Macaca mulatta: one gene and its partner. The main gene of each other region encodes a partner of the protein of the gene in region 2 in a complex. Links are inferred from orthologs where the notes say so. Each region holds a gene or a part of one and is shown on either strand. Other genes may lie near its edges.

Region 1 (5,999 bases), on a different chromosome or scaffold from region 2:
TGGCATGCACCTGTAATCCCAGCTACTTGGAAGGCTGAGACAGAAGAATTGCTTGAACCCAGGAGGTGGAGGTGAGCCAAGATTGAGCCACTGCACTCCAGCCTGGGTGACAGAGAGAGACTCCCTCTCAAAAAAATAAAAATAAGCTGGGGGCGGTGGCTCAGGCCTGTAATCCCAGCACTTTGGGAGGCCAAGGCCGGTGGATCACTGGAGGTCAGGAGTTCAAGACCAGCCTGGCCAACATGGTGAAACCTCATCTCTACTAAAAATACAAAAATTAACCAGGCATGGTGGCGGGCACCTGTAATCCCAGCTACTTGGGAAGCTGAGGCAGGAGAATCTCTTGAACCCGAGGGGCAGAGGTTGCACTGAGCCGAGATTGCACCATTGCACTCCAGCCTGGGTGACAAGAGCAAGACTCCATCTCAAAAAAATAAATAAAATAAAAATAATAAATAAAAATAATAAATAAGAAAACAAAATACGTGTTGAAGGATGTGGAGCAACTGGAACCCTTCTGCATTGCTGGTGGGAATGTCGAATGGTGTGGCTGCTATGGAAAACAGCATGGTGGTTTCTCAAAAACATTCAACATAGAATTACCATAGATCCAGGAATTCCACTTCTGGGTATATGTCCAGAAAAACTGAAAGCAGAGACTCAAAGAGGTATCTGTAAACATTTTAGCATTATCTACAACAGTCAAAAGGTAGAAACAACGCAAGTGTCCATAGACAGATGGATGAATAAACAAAATGTGGCCTATACATATAATGGGATACTATTCAGCCTTAAAAGGGAAGGAAATCCCGACTCATGCTACAACATGGATGAACCTTAAGGATATTATGCTGAGTGAAAAGCAGCCAGTCACAAAAGGATAAATACTGTCTGATTCCACTTATATGACATAGGTCCCAAGAGCAGTCAAATTCACAGAGACAGAAAGTACAATGGAGGTTGCCAGGGAGAGGCAGGAATGGAGAGTTGTTTAATGGGTGCGAGAGTTTCAGTCAGAGGAGATAAAAAGGTTGTGATATGGGGCCGGGCATGGTGGCACATGCCTGTAATACTAGCACTTTGGGAGGCCAAGGAGGGCAGATGACTTGAGGTCAGGAGTTTGAGACTAGCCTGGGCAACATAGTGAGACCCCATCTCTACTAAAAATACAAAAATTAGCCAGGCATGGTGGCAGGTGCCTGTAATCACAGCTACTTGGGAGGCTGAGGCAGGAGAATCGCTTGAACCTGGAAGGCGGAGGCTGCAGTGAGCCAAGATCAGGCCACTACACTCCAGCATAGGCAACAGATTGAGACTCTGTTCCAAAAAAGAAAAAAGAAAAAGTTCTGGGAGCGGGGCCAGGTGCAGTGGTTCACACCTGTAATCCCAGCACTTTGGGAGGCAAAGTTGGGCGGATGGCTTGAGGTCTGGAGTTTGAGACCAGCCTGGCCAACATGGCAAAGCTCTGTCTCTACAAAAAATACAAAAAAATAGCTGGGCATGGTGGTGCATGCCTGTGGTCCCAGCTACTTGGGAGGCTGAGGTGGGAGGATCCCTTGAACCTGAGAGGCAGAGGTTGCAATGAGCTGAGATTGTGCCACTGCACAGAGCCAGACCCTGTCTTTAAAAAATAATAATAAAGTTCTGGGATAACGGTTGCACAAAAATGTGAATGTACTTAATGCCACTGAACTGTACACCTAAAAATGATAAAGATGATAAATTCATATTATGTAGATTTTACAATTAAGAAGATGAGGCCGGGCGCGGTGGCTCACGCCTGTAATCCCAGCACTTTGGGAGGCCGAGACGGGCGGATCACGAGGTCAGGAGATCGAGACCATCCTGGCTAATACGGTGAAACCCCGTCTCTACTAAAAAATACAAAAAACTAGCCGGGCGAGGTGGCGGGCGCCTGTAGTCCCAGCTACTCGGGAGGCTGAGGCAGGAGAATGGCGTAAACCCGGGAGGCGGAGCTTGCAGTGAGCTGAGATCCGGCCACTGCAGTCCAGCTCGGGCGACAGAGCAAGACTCCTTCTCAAAAAAAAAAAGAAAAAGAAAAAGAAGATGAGCATGGGCCAGCTCATCAGGAGTCTTTTATGCAATGCTAAGGACCTGAGACATCATCTTAAAAAGACTGGATAGCATCAGGAAAGATTCTGAAGGAGACTCAGGGGTTAAAAGAGAATTTCCTGTATCTCCAGGACAATGCAGACAGTAGGACAACGGAGAGAGTAAGAATAGTTTTGCACAAAACAGGCACTCAATGAATACTGGTGGAATAAAATATACTCCACTATTACCAATTTATCTTAGGAGAGAAAAGCAAGAACTGTTTTCCAAGACAATGCTACAACGCATGCGCACAATCTTTGAGGTCTCCGTCTGTGCCCAACAGCTCCTCATTCCTGCTGTGGGCATACAGAGGGCGCTCATTCCCGGGGACAGTTCCCAAAGTACCCCCACCTCCCATGACCACACCCCACCACGCCCTGTTCAATTTGCCACCAAATCCCTATCCCTATCCCTGCTCCAACAGGCAATCAAATCTCCACCTCCAGTCACTAGCGGGATGACTTAGCGCCACTACTAAATTCTCTGAGCCAGACTCCTCCGGGAGGTAAAGGAGGATGGGATAATAACTCGTCTCTCCCAGCAGCCGTGACAGGGAGGTAATGTACTCACTACCTGGCAGAAAGAGTGCTCCCCAAGCTGGTTGCTCCCTTGGATATTGAAGGCATCACGCTGTACTGAGATTCTCTCTGCACCTGTCTCCCACCCTACCCATCCCAAGAATGTGGGCTCCTGGACGCTAGGATCCATCTCTCCGGGACCTGGAACAGCGGACTTCGCCCGCCAGGCCTCTGGGAAAACCCTGGGTGAGGGCTGCTCAAATGCCTCTAGGGACCAGGATTAACGGAAACGGGTGAGGCTGGCAGCGGGGCACCAGGAACTCCCAATGTGAGGTTCGCCGCCGCCACCCACAGCTAGAAGATTCCTGTCCCGTGAAAGCGTGGCCCAGGGTTGCCGGATGTTTCTCCCCCCACCCCCCTAGAACCCAGAAAGTCTGATTCTGGGGTAAAGCGGCGCACCTTTTAGACGCTACCAACTATCTCAAAAAAGCTTACAGACCAACCAAGACGCTACTACGGGCTGAATCTGGGCTTCAGTCGCCCAGTTGAGACCCCTGTACCTACTCCCAGACCCGCCAGGGGACTGGGGCGGCATCCCCACCGGCCCTTGGGAGGCCAGGCAGCCACTTACGAAGGATGAGAAGGACGGGAGGAGGATCCTAAGAACATTGCACCCAAACACGAAGCTGAGCACCAGCAACCACGCCCAGTGGTCGGCCGCGGCTGAGCTCATCCCGGATACTCCTGGCTGTACTGGGTTCGCTACGGCAGCTCCATGGGGACCACGCCAGCAGAGGCGACTGCGCCTGCGCGGGTGAAGCCCAGCGCGCCTGCGCACTGCGTCGCCCTCGCAGGAGGCGGGGCCGTTTTTACCACCCGCTCCAGTTGGAGCGGTTGACATGTTCCAGGTTCCTCCTGGGCCTTCGGGGATTCCGTAGCCTTCTCGCACCCGCCCCCACCCCTACTCAACCAGTTTTCCTGGCGTCCGTGTTTCTTTTTTTCCTTCTTTTTAAAATTGAAAACCTTCTCATAGTACCAAATTCTGGTTTCAAGTGCTAACGACTCCCTGCTTTTGTCATAATTAGTACTTTCTTTAACTTTTAATTCTAGATAAGTTTAAGATAAACTCTTCCATAAATAAAAAACTACCGTAAGTATAGTAGCAGGTAGCTGTCGTGTTCCAAGCAGGTATGCGGAAAATGCCTTACGTTTTCGTTCCAGAACTAAACACTGTAGTAAGTCTAACCAATTTACACAATTGCATACCTGTAAAAATAAGTTTATTAGAATGCACTGTTCACAATCATTAGTAGTAGCTAATAAAGTAACCTGAATCTAGGTGAGGATCAGGTTTTGCCGCAAAAGAATCCCAAATCAAATGTATGCATCAGTGGGCAGAGCGTGGTGGCTCACGCCAGTAATCCCAGCATTTTGGGAGCCCGAGGCGGGCGGGTCACGAGGTCGAGAGATCGAAACCAGCTTGGCCAACATGGTGAAACCCCGTCTCTATGATACAAAAATTAGTTGGGCGTGGTGGCGCGCGCCTGTAGTCCCAGCTACTCAGGAGGCTGAGGCAGGAGAATCGCTTGAACCCGGCAGGCGGAGGTTGCAGTGAGCCAAGATCGTGCCACTAGTACTCCAGCTCCAGCGACAGAGTGGGACTCCGTCTCAAGAAAAAAAAAAAAAAAGTATACATAGTGGATAAAGCAAGACATGTTCAGCTGTCTCTTCTGCCATGCTGCCATGGCTGGTTTCTGAGGACTAATTCCTAATCAAAATGATGCAAGATTGCGGGTACACTGGCTCATGCCTGTAATCCCAGCACTTTGGGAGATCCAAGCAAGGTGGATCACGGGCCCAGGAGTTTGAAACCAGTCTAGGTAACATAGTGCGACCCCATCTTTACAGTAGAATATAAATATTAGCCGGGCATTGTGGCACGTGCCTGTGGCCCCAGCTATTAGGGAGGCTGAGATGAGAGGATCGCCTGAGCCCAGGAGGTCGAGGCTGCAGTGAGCTGTGATCACACCACTGTGCTCCAGCCTGGGCGACAGAGTACAACTCTGGCTCATTATTATGAACCAATTAAAATAATTTTGCAGCTGGGTGCAGTGACTCAAGCCTGTAATCCCAGCACTTTGGGAGGCCGAGGCGGGTGGATCACCTAAGGTCAGGAGTTCGACACCAGCCTGACCAACAAGGCAAAACCCTGTCTCTACTAAAAATACAAAAATTAGCTGGATGTGGTGGCGGGCGCCTGTAGTCCCAGCTACTCAGGAGGCCGAGGCAGGAGAATCGCTTTAACCTGGGAGGCGGAGGTTGGCTGAGATCATGCCGCTGCACTCCAGCCTGGGCGACAAGAGTGAAACTCTGTCTTTAAAAAAAAAAAAAAAAAAAAAAAATTATGCAAGAGGCTGTGGTTCTACAAATTTCTTTTTCTTTTTCTTTTTCTTTTTTTTTTGAGACGGAGTCTCGCTCTGTCGCCCAGGCTGGAGTGCAGTGGCCGGATCTCAGCTCATTGCAAGCTCCGCCTCCTGGGTTTACGCCATTCTCCTGCCTCAGCCTCCTGAGTAGCCGGGACTACGGGCGACTGCCACCTCGCCCGGCTAGTTTTTTGTATTTTTTTTAGTAGAGACGGGGTTTCACCGTGTTAGCCAGGATGGTCTCGATCTCCTGACCTCGTGATCAGCCTGTCTCGGCCTCCCAAAGTGCTGGGATTACAGGCTTGAGCCACCGCGCACAGCCAGTTCTACAAATTTCTGTTCAAGAAAACATGTGATCCAGCCTGGGCGACAGAGCAAGACTCCGTCTCAAAAAAAAAGAAAAAGAAAACATGTGAAACAAGGCTATTCTGTAGGAGTAGAGTGAATCCTTTCCCTGAAAGGACTTCTTGGTTAGTAAGTGACTTCTGAACAAAACAAAGAGCAGGAGCCTGGCTCTCCTCCATGGCCTTCCCTTCCACCTGGATGGACCACGCAGCATGGCAGCCGGGCTCCTGGCTTCTCTGTCACTGGAGATTGAGATGGATTTAGGAGGAGAAACTGCCTCTTGAAAAGTGATGACAGGCCAAGCACAGTGGTTCACGCCTGTAATCCCAGCATTTTGGGAGGCCAAGGTGGGTAGATCACCTGAGGTCAGGAGTTCAAAACCAGCCTGACCAACTTGGTGAAAGCCCACCTCTCCTAAAAATACAAAAATTAGTTGGGCGTGGTGGCGCATGGCGCATGCCTGTAATCCCAGCTACTCAAGAGGCTGAGGCAAGACAATCGCTTGAACCCAGGAGGTGGAGGTTGCAGGGAGCCAAGGTGGCACCATTGCACTCCAGCCTGGTGACAGAGTGAGACTCCATCTCAAAAAAAGAAAAGA
Region 2 (5,843 bases):
TGAAGGTTCTTTAAATAGCCTAAGTAGATGTCTGGGAGGCCATAAACTGAATTCTTTTTTTTTTTTTTTTTTTTGAGACGGAGTCTCGCTCTGCCGCCCAGGCTGGAGTGCAGTGGCCGGATCTCAGCTCACTGCACGCTCCGCCTCCCGGGTTCACGCCATTCTCCTGCCTCAGCCTCCCGAGTAGTTGGGACTACAGGCGCCCGCCACCGCGCCCGGCTAGTTTTTTGTATTTTTTAGTAGAGACGGGGTTTCACCGTGTTAGCCAGGATGGTCTCGATCTCCTGACCTCGTGATCCGCCCGTCTCGGCCTCCCAAAGTGCTGGGATTACAGGCTTGAGCCACCGCGCCCGGCCGATAAACTGAATTCTTGATGTTTGCTCCTCAAGGATAGCTGGGTTTGAAATTCTATATCAAAGGTTATTTTTCCATTTATAATGTTAAGATATTACTCCATTGTCTTCTGTACCCTTGTGTAATGAGATGACTGGCCAGGTGCCGTGGCTCATGCCTGTAATCCCAGCACTTTGGGAGGCCGAGGCAGGTGGATCACCTGAGGTTGGGAGTTCGAGACCAGCCTGACCAACATGGAGAAACCCCGTCTTTACTAAAAATACAAAATTAGCTGGGCATGGTGGCGCATGCCTGTAATTTTTAATAGAGACACGGTTTCACCATGTTGACCAGGCTGGTCTCCAGCTCCTAGCCTCAAGTGATCCACCTGTCTTGGCTTTCATCCTTAATGTTCTATAGTTTTGTTACTGTTGGGTTCTTTTGGTGGTTTTTTGTTTTTTTTAATTTTTCTTCTGAGACGGAGTTTCACTCTTGTTGCCCAGGCTGGAGTGCAATGGCACGATCTCGGCTCACCGCAACCCCCGCCTCCTGGGTTCAAGCAATTCTCCTGCCTCAGCCTCCCGAGTGGCTGGGATTACAGGCATGCGGCACCACACCTGGCTAATTTTGTATTTTTAGTAGAGACGGGGTTTCTCCATGTTGGTCAGGCTGGTCTCGAACTCCCGACCTCAGGTGATCCGCCCGCCTCGGCCTCCCAAAGTGCTGGGATTACAGGCATGAGCCACTGCGCCAGGCCTGTAGTTTATTTTTTTATCCTGCTTGTTATTCAGAGCACACTTTAAAGATCCTTGTCTACAGTTCTGAAAAACTTCAAGCCATTTCCTTTTCAAATATTTGAAAACTGTTCCATAAAATTAATTCTTTCTGGAATAAATTTCTAGTCCAACTTTTAATTCGGCTGTAAGAATTTAAGTGTTGTATTTCTTTTTTTTTTTTTTTTTTTTTTTTTGAGACGGAGTCTCGCTCTGTCGCCCAGACTGGAGCATCTTTAGCATGCAAGTTGGTCATAAATGATAAGAAGGAAAAAAAATAATATAGCATGCGAGGTGGTCATAAACGACAAGGAGAAAAAATAAGGTGGAGAAGGGGAATGGGGAGTGCTGGCAATTTAGATAGAATGTGCACGAAAGGCTTCACTGGGAAATTCTGATTTGAACAAAAACGCACAAAACGTGAGGAAAGCCTAGGAACACAGCACCCGTATTCTTGGGCGTAGAGAAGTTAAGGATGAGGAACAGGAACCAAGAACAAATCCCAGCGTAAGGCTCCGTTTAAGCGTGGCTCCCTACAAGCGAGGCCGCCGGTCTGTAAACAAGCGACTGCCGCTGCAACCTCCATTTTGCTTCCTGGCACCAAATCTAGGCTGATTATTCACTGCCATCCCTTTCCCACTTCCGGTTTCCTTTCCTCTTCTCTCCTCTCCTCTCCTCTCCATCTCCTCTCTCTTCTCTTCTTTTTTTTCCCCTCGAGACAGAGTCTTGCTCTGTAGCACAGGCTGGAGTGCAGTGGCGCGATCTCGGCTCACTGCAACCTCGGCCTCCTGGGTCCACGCGATTCTCCTGCCTCAGCCTCCCGAGTAGCCGGGATTACGGGCGCGCGCCACCACGCCCGGCTAATTTTTTGTATTTTTAGTAGAGACGGGGGTTTCACCGTGTTGGCCAGGCTAGTCTTGAACTCCTGACCTCGTGATCCGCCCGCCTCGGCCTTCCAAAGTACTAGCATTACAGGCGTGAGCCACCACTCCCGGCCCTGGGTGCTGGTTTTCTTCACCTCCGAGTGAACAGCAGAGGGGTCTGTTGGGTGAGGGCCAGACGAGTTGGGGAGGAATCAGGGCGTCCAGCGCTGCCCTCACTCAAGATGGCGGCCAGAGCCTGGCGCTTCGTCGCGTGGAGCGGCGCTTGCGTGCTTAGCTCACAGGCTCCGGCACCGCGCTCGGGGGAGGGACTATAGTGGGAAGGGGACGCGCGCCTTGCGGCCCGGGCTCTAGTCATCGCCCTCGCCGCGGCGGCCAACACCAGCGCTCCTGCCACCCCTCCCAGACTGTGGACGGGAGGATGGAGTCGATGGCTGTCGCTACCGACGGCGGGGAGAGGCCGGGGGTCCCAGCGGGCTCAGGCCTGTCGGCCTCCCAGCGTCGAGCCGAGCTGCGTCGGAGGAAGCTGCTCATGAACTCCGAACAGCGCATCAACCGGATCATGGGCTTTCACAGGCCCGGGAGCGGCGCGGGTAAGAGCCTCGATTTCCCCTCTGTCTCCCGCCTCTCCCCTTGAATCTTCAGGGTCATTCTTCCCTCTCCCACCTCCACTCCACTGACCTTTTTGACCAAGCCCTGCTCTTTGACTTCCTCTCTGTCCCGCCCCTTCGGTTATATCCCAAGTTCTCATTCCTGAACCCCAGGATGTTCCCCAGTCGCTCCCCTCAAATTTTCCTGGAGCCTCGCTGTGAGATTTTCCCCACCCTGCCTGCAGAGCCCTCGCTGTCTCTGCCCAGTTACGTTAACAGCCCCTTTTTTCCTTAGCCACTTCTCGTCTTGAAGGGCGCACGTTGTATCCCCAGACTGTCGTGTCCACTGCTCCCCTTAGGAAGATGGCTTTCCTTGTTAAGGTTCCAAGTGCTTTTCCTTACAGTGCCTTCTGTAGCGTCTACCTTCTTTTGCCTTTTGCTGTGTAACTCTTGTCCGCCCACGTCAGCCTGTCTTTACGGAACTGCCCGCTAGTTCGTCCTACGTGTATCAGGGACTCTGTGGTCATATTCTAGTGTCTGTGTTCAGTGCCCTCAACACTTGTCACCTACGGGCCGGCAAGAAAAGTTGGGAAAAGTGAGAGTGAGCATTCTTCAGAGACCCAGCAAGTGCGACGTGCACCTGAGAGTTTCCTCTCCTCACCAGGGGAGATCGATGTCATTGATGTCTGGAACTGCATTTCTAAAGGAGAGCACCTCATTCCTCCCCCAAACATATATCCAATGATTTTATTTAAAAAAAATTTATTTCACGTGAGTATAACTGAACAATTAGCACGCCCTAGTGTTTTTCCACTGTTTCCTTTAGTAATTGGTCTTTAGTCAGTGCTCGCAAGCTCCTTAGATCTTTGTGACTTTTGTTCTGGAAGGCTTTAGGTGTATAGCTCTGCATTTTTAGATAGTTCAAATGAGAGGTAAGAAAAACATTTCAAATTCTTCTAGAACACTAGAAGAAACATTTTTCTATCAGGCTACTTATTCTTAAAGCATTATTTACGATCTTACCCGAGGTACTTTCTTTTTTTCTTTTTTCTTTTTGTTTTTGAGACGAAGTCTCGCTCTGTTGCCCAGGCTGGAGTGCAGTGGTGCGATCTCCGCTCACTGCAAGCTCCGCCTCCTGGGTTCAAGCAATTCTCCTGCCTCAGCCTCCTGAGTAGCTGGGAGTACAGGCACGTGCCACCACGCCCGGATAATTTTTTGTATTTTTATTAGAGACGGAGTTTCACCATGTTGGCCAGGCTGGTCTCAATCTCCTGACCTCGTGATCCGCCTGCCTCGGCCTCCCAAAGTGGTGGGATTACAGGCTTGAGCCACCGCGCCCAGCCGGTACTTTCTATATTTTGTTCTTTTGCTTTGAAAATTTTATGTCTTTAAAGGTTTTGTTTTTTGAGACAATGTCTCCCTCTGTATCCTTGGCTGGAGTGCAGTGGCATGATCATAGCTTACTGCAGCCTCAAACTCCTGGGCTTAAGCAATCCTGCTACCTCAGCCTCCAGAGTAGCTAGGACCACAGGCGTACACCACAATGCCCGGCTAATTAAAAAAAAAAATTGTGTGTGTGGAGATGGGGGTCTCACTATGTTGCCTAAGCTGGTCTTGAACTTCTGGGCTCAAGTGATCCACCAGCCTTTGCTTCCAAAAGTGCTGGGCTTACAGGATTACAGGTGTGAGCCATTGTGCCTGGCCTTTTTTAAAACAAAAAACAAAAACAAAAAAAAACACACCAGAGTAGCATCTTAAAACTGCTGAATTACCTACTAATGGTTGTCTGACCACATAAACAGTAGCTGTGGGATATGCCACACCCTATGCTCATAGGGCACTGGATTCACAAATCTAATTTTAAAATACAGATTTTAAAATGCCTTACTGATTTTATATTTTTAACCAAATAAGCTAAGGCAGGCAATGCAATCATACATCTGGGATATATTATCCATAAAAAGTTGGTCTTTTCAGTTTGCTCAATCTCTGAATATCTTTCCTAGTTGGTCTACTAATCTTATCTCCTACCCATAAAGTTTGAGTTATTTCCTCTGCAGAATACTCATTTTGGGTGATATATTTTGAGGGTGTAGAGGAAGAAACCAACTTTTTTTTTTTTTTTTTGGAGACGGAGTCTCGCTCTGTCGCCAGGCAGATGCAGACGGAGTGCAGTGGCGCAATCTCGGCTCATGGCAACCTCTGCCTCCCGGTTTCAAGCGATTCTCCTGCCTCAGCCAGAGTAGCTGGGACTACAGACAGCTGGGACTGCAGGCACATGCCACCACACCCAGCTAATTTTTGTATTTTTAGTAGTGACGGAGTTTCACCATGTTGGCTAGGATAGTCTCAATCTCTTGACCTCATGATGCGCCCACCTCAGCCTCCCAAAGTGTTGGGATTACAGGCGTGAGCCACTGTGCCTGGCCGAAACCAGCTTTTCTTTAATGCAGAATCAATATTTATTTATTTTGATTCAGAGACTGCTGAGTTCTAGCTGCAACAGCATATTTTAAAACATAAACATGTAAGGTGTTTGCCAGTATGTAATAAATACATAAGGCTTTTAAATTTCTTTTCTCAGAAGAAGAAAGTCAAACAAAATCAAAGCAGCAGGACAGTGATAAACTGAACTCCCTCAGCGTTCCTTCAGTTTCAAAACGAGTAGTGCTGGGTGATTCAGTCAGTACAGGAACAACTGACCAGCAGGGTGGTGTGGCCGAGGTAAAGGGGACCCAACTGGGAGACAAATTGGACTCTTTCATTAAACCACCTGAGTGCAGTAATGATGTCAACCTTGAGCTCCGGCAGCGGAACAGAGGGGACTTGACAGCGGACTCAGTCCAGAGGGGTGCCCGCCATGGCCTAGAGCAGTACCTTTCCAGATTCGAAGAAGCAATGAAGCTAAGGAAACAGCTGATTAGTGAAAAACCCAGTCAAGAGGATGGAAGTACAACAGAAGAATTTGACTCTTTTCGAATATTTAGATTGGTGGGATGTGCTCTTCTTGCTCTTGGAGTCAGAGCTTTTGTTTGCAAATACTTGGTAAGAAAAGATCTGTAAATTATTAACTAACTTAATGGAAAATGCAAAATGTTAATAATTATGAGTGCTTTTGACCCATAGAAGTCATTGCCAAAATTAATATCTACCGGATCCATGTGGCTGTTTGAAGATACATTATTAACTTTGCTATTCATCTTATAGAATGAAGTGTTCTGGTTAAATACAGAGCCTAATAATTATTGTTGGTCCTCCATATCAGT

What was found. The genes of interacting proteins can lie anywhere in the genome.
Region 1: CAMLG (region 2) and GET1 share a complex: the UniProt entries of both Homo sapiens proteins name them as parts of the golgi to ER traffic (GET) complex. The link is inferred for Macaca mulatta from reciprocal best matches to the Homo sapiens genes CAMLG and GET1.

The regions. Positions count from the first base shown.
Region 1 is NC_133408.1:8,063,198-8,069,196, forward strand, and holds the start of GET1 (guided entry of tail-anchored proteins factor 1), read right to left. Parts: upstream 3,420-5,999; 5' UTR 3,367-3,419; coding exon 3,265-3,366; intron 1-3,264. UniProt on the Homo sapiens protein: Required for the post-translational delivery of tail-anchored (TA) proteins to the endoplasmic reticulum (ER).
Region 2 is NC_133411.1:143,652,904-143,658,746, forward strand, and holds the start of CAMLG (guided entry of tail-anchored proteins factor CAMLG), read left to right. Parts: upstream 1-1,809; 5' UTR 1,810-2,169; intron 2,170-2,222; 5' UTR 2,223-2,408; coding exon 2,409-2,580; intron 2,581-5,161; coding exon 5,162-5,622; intron 5,623-5,843. UniProt on the Homo sapiens protein: Required for the post-translational delivery of tail-anchored (TA) proteins to the endoplasmic reticulum.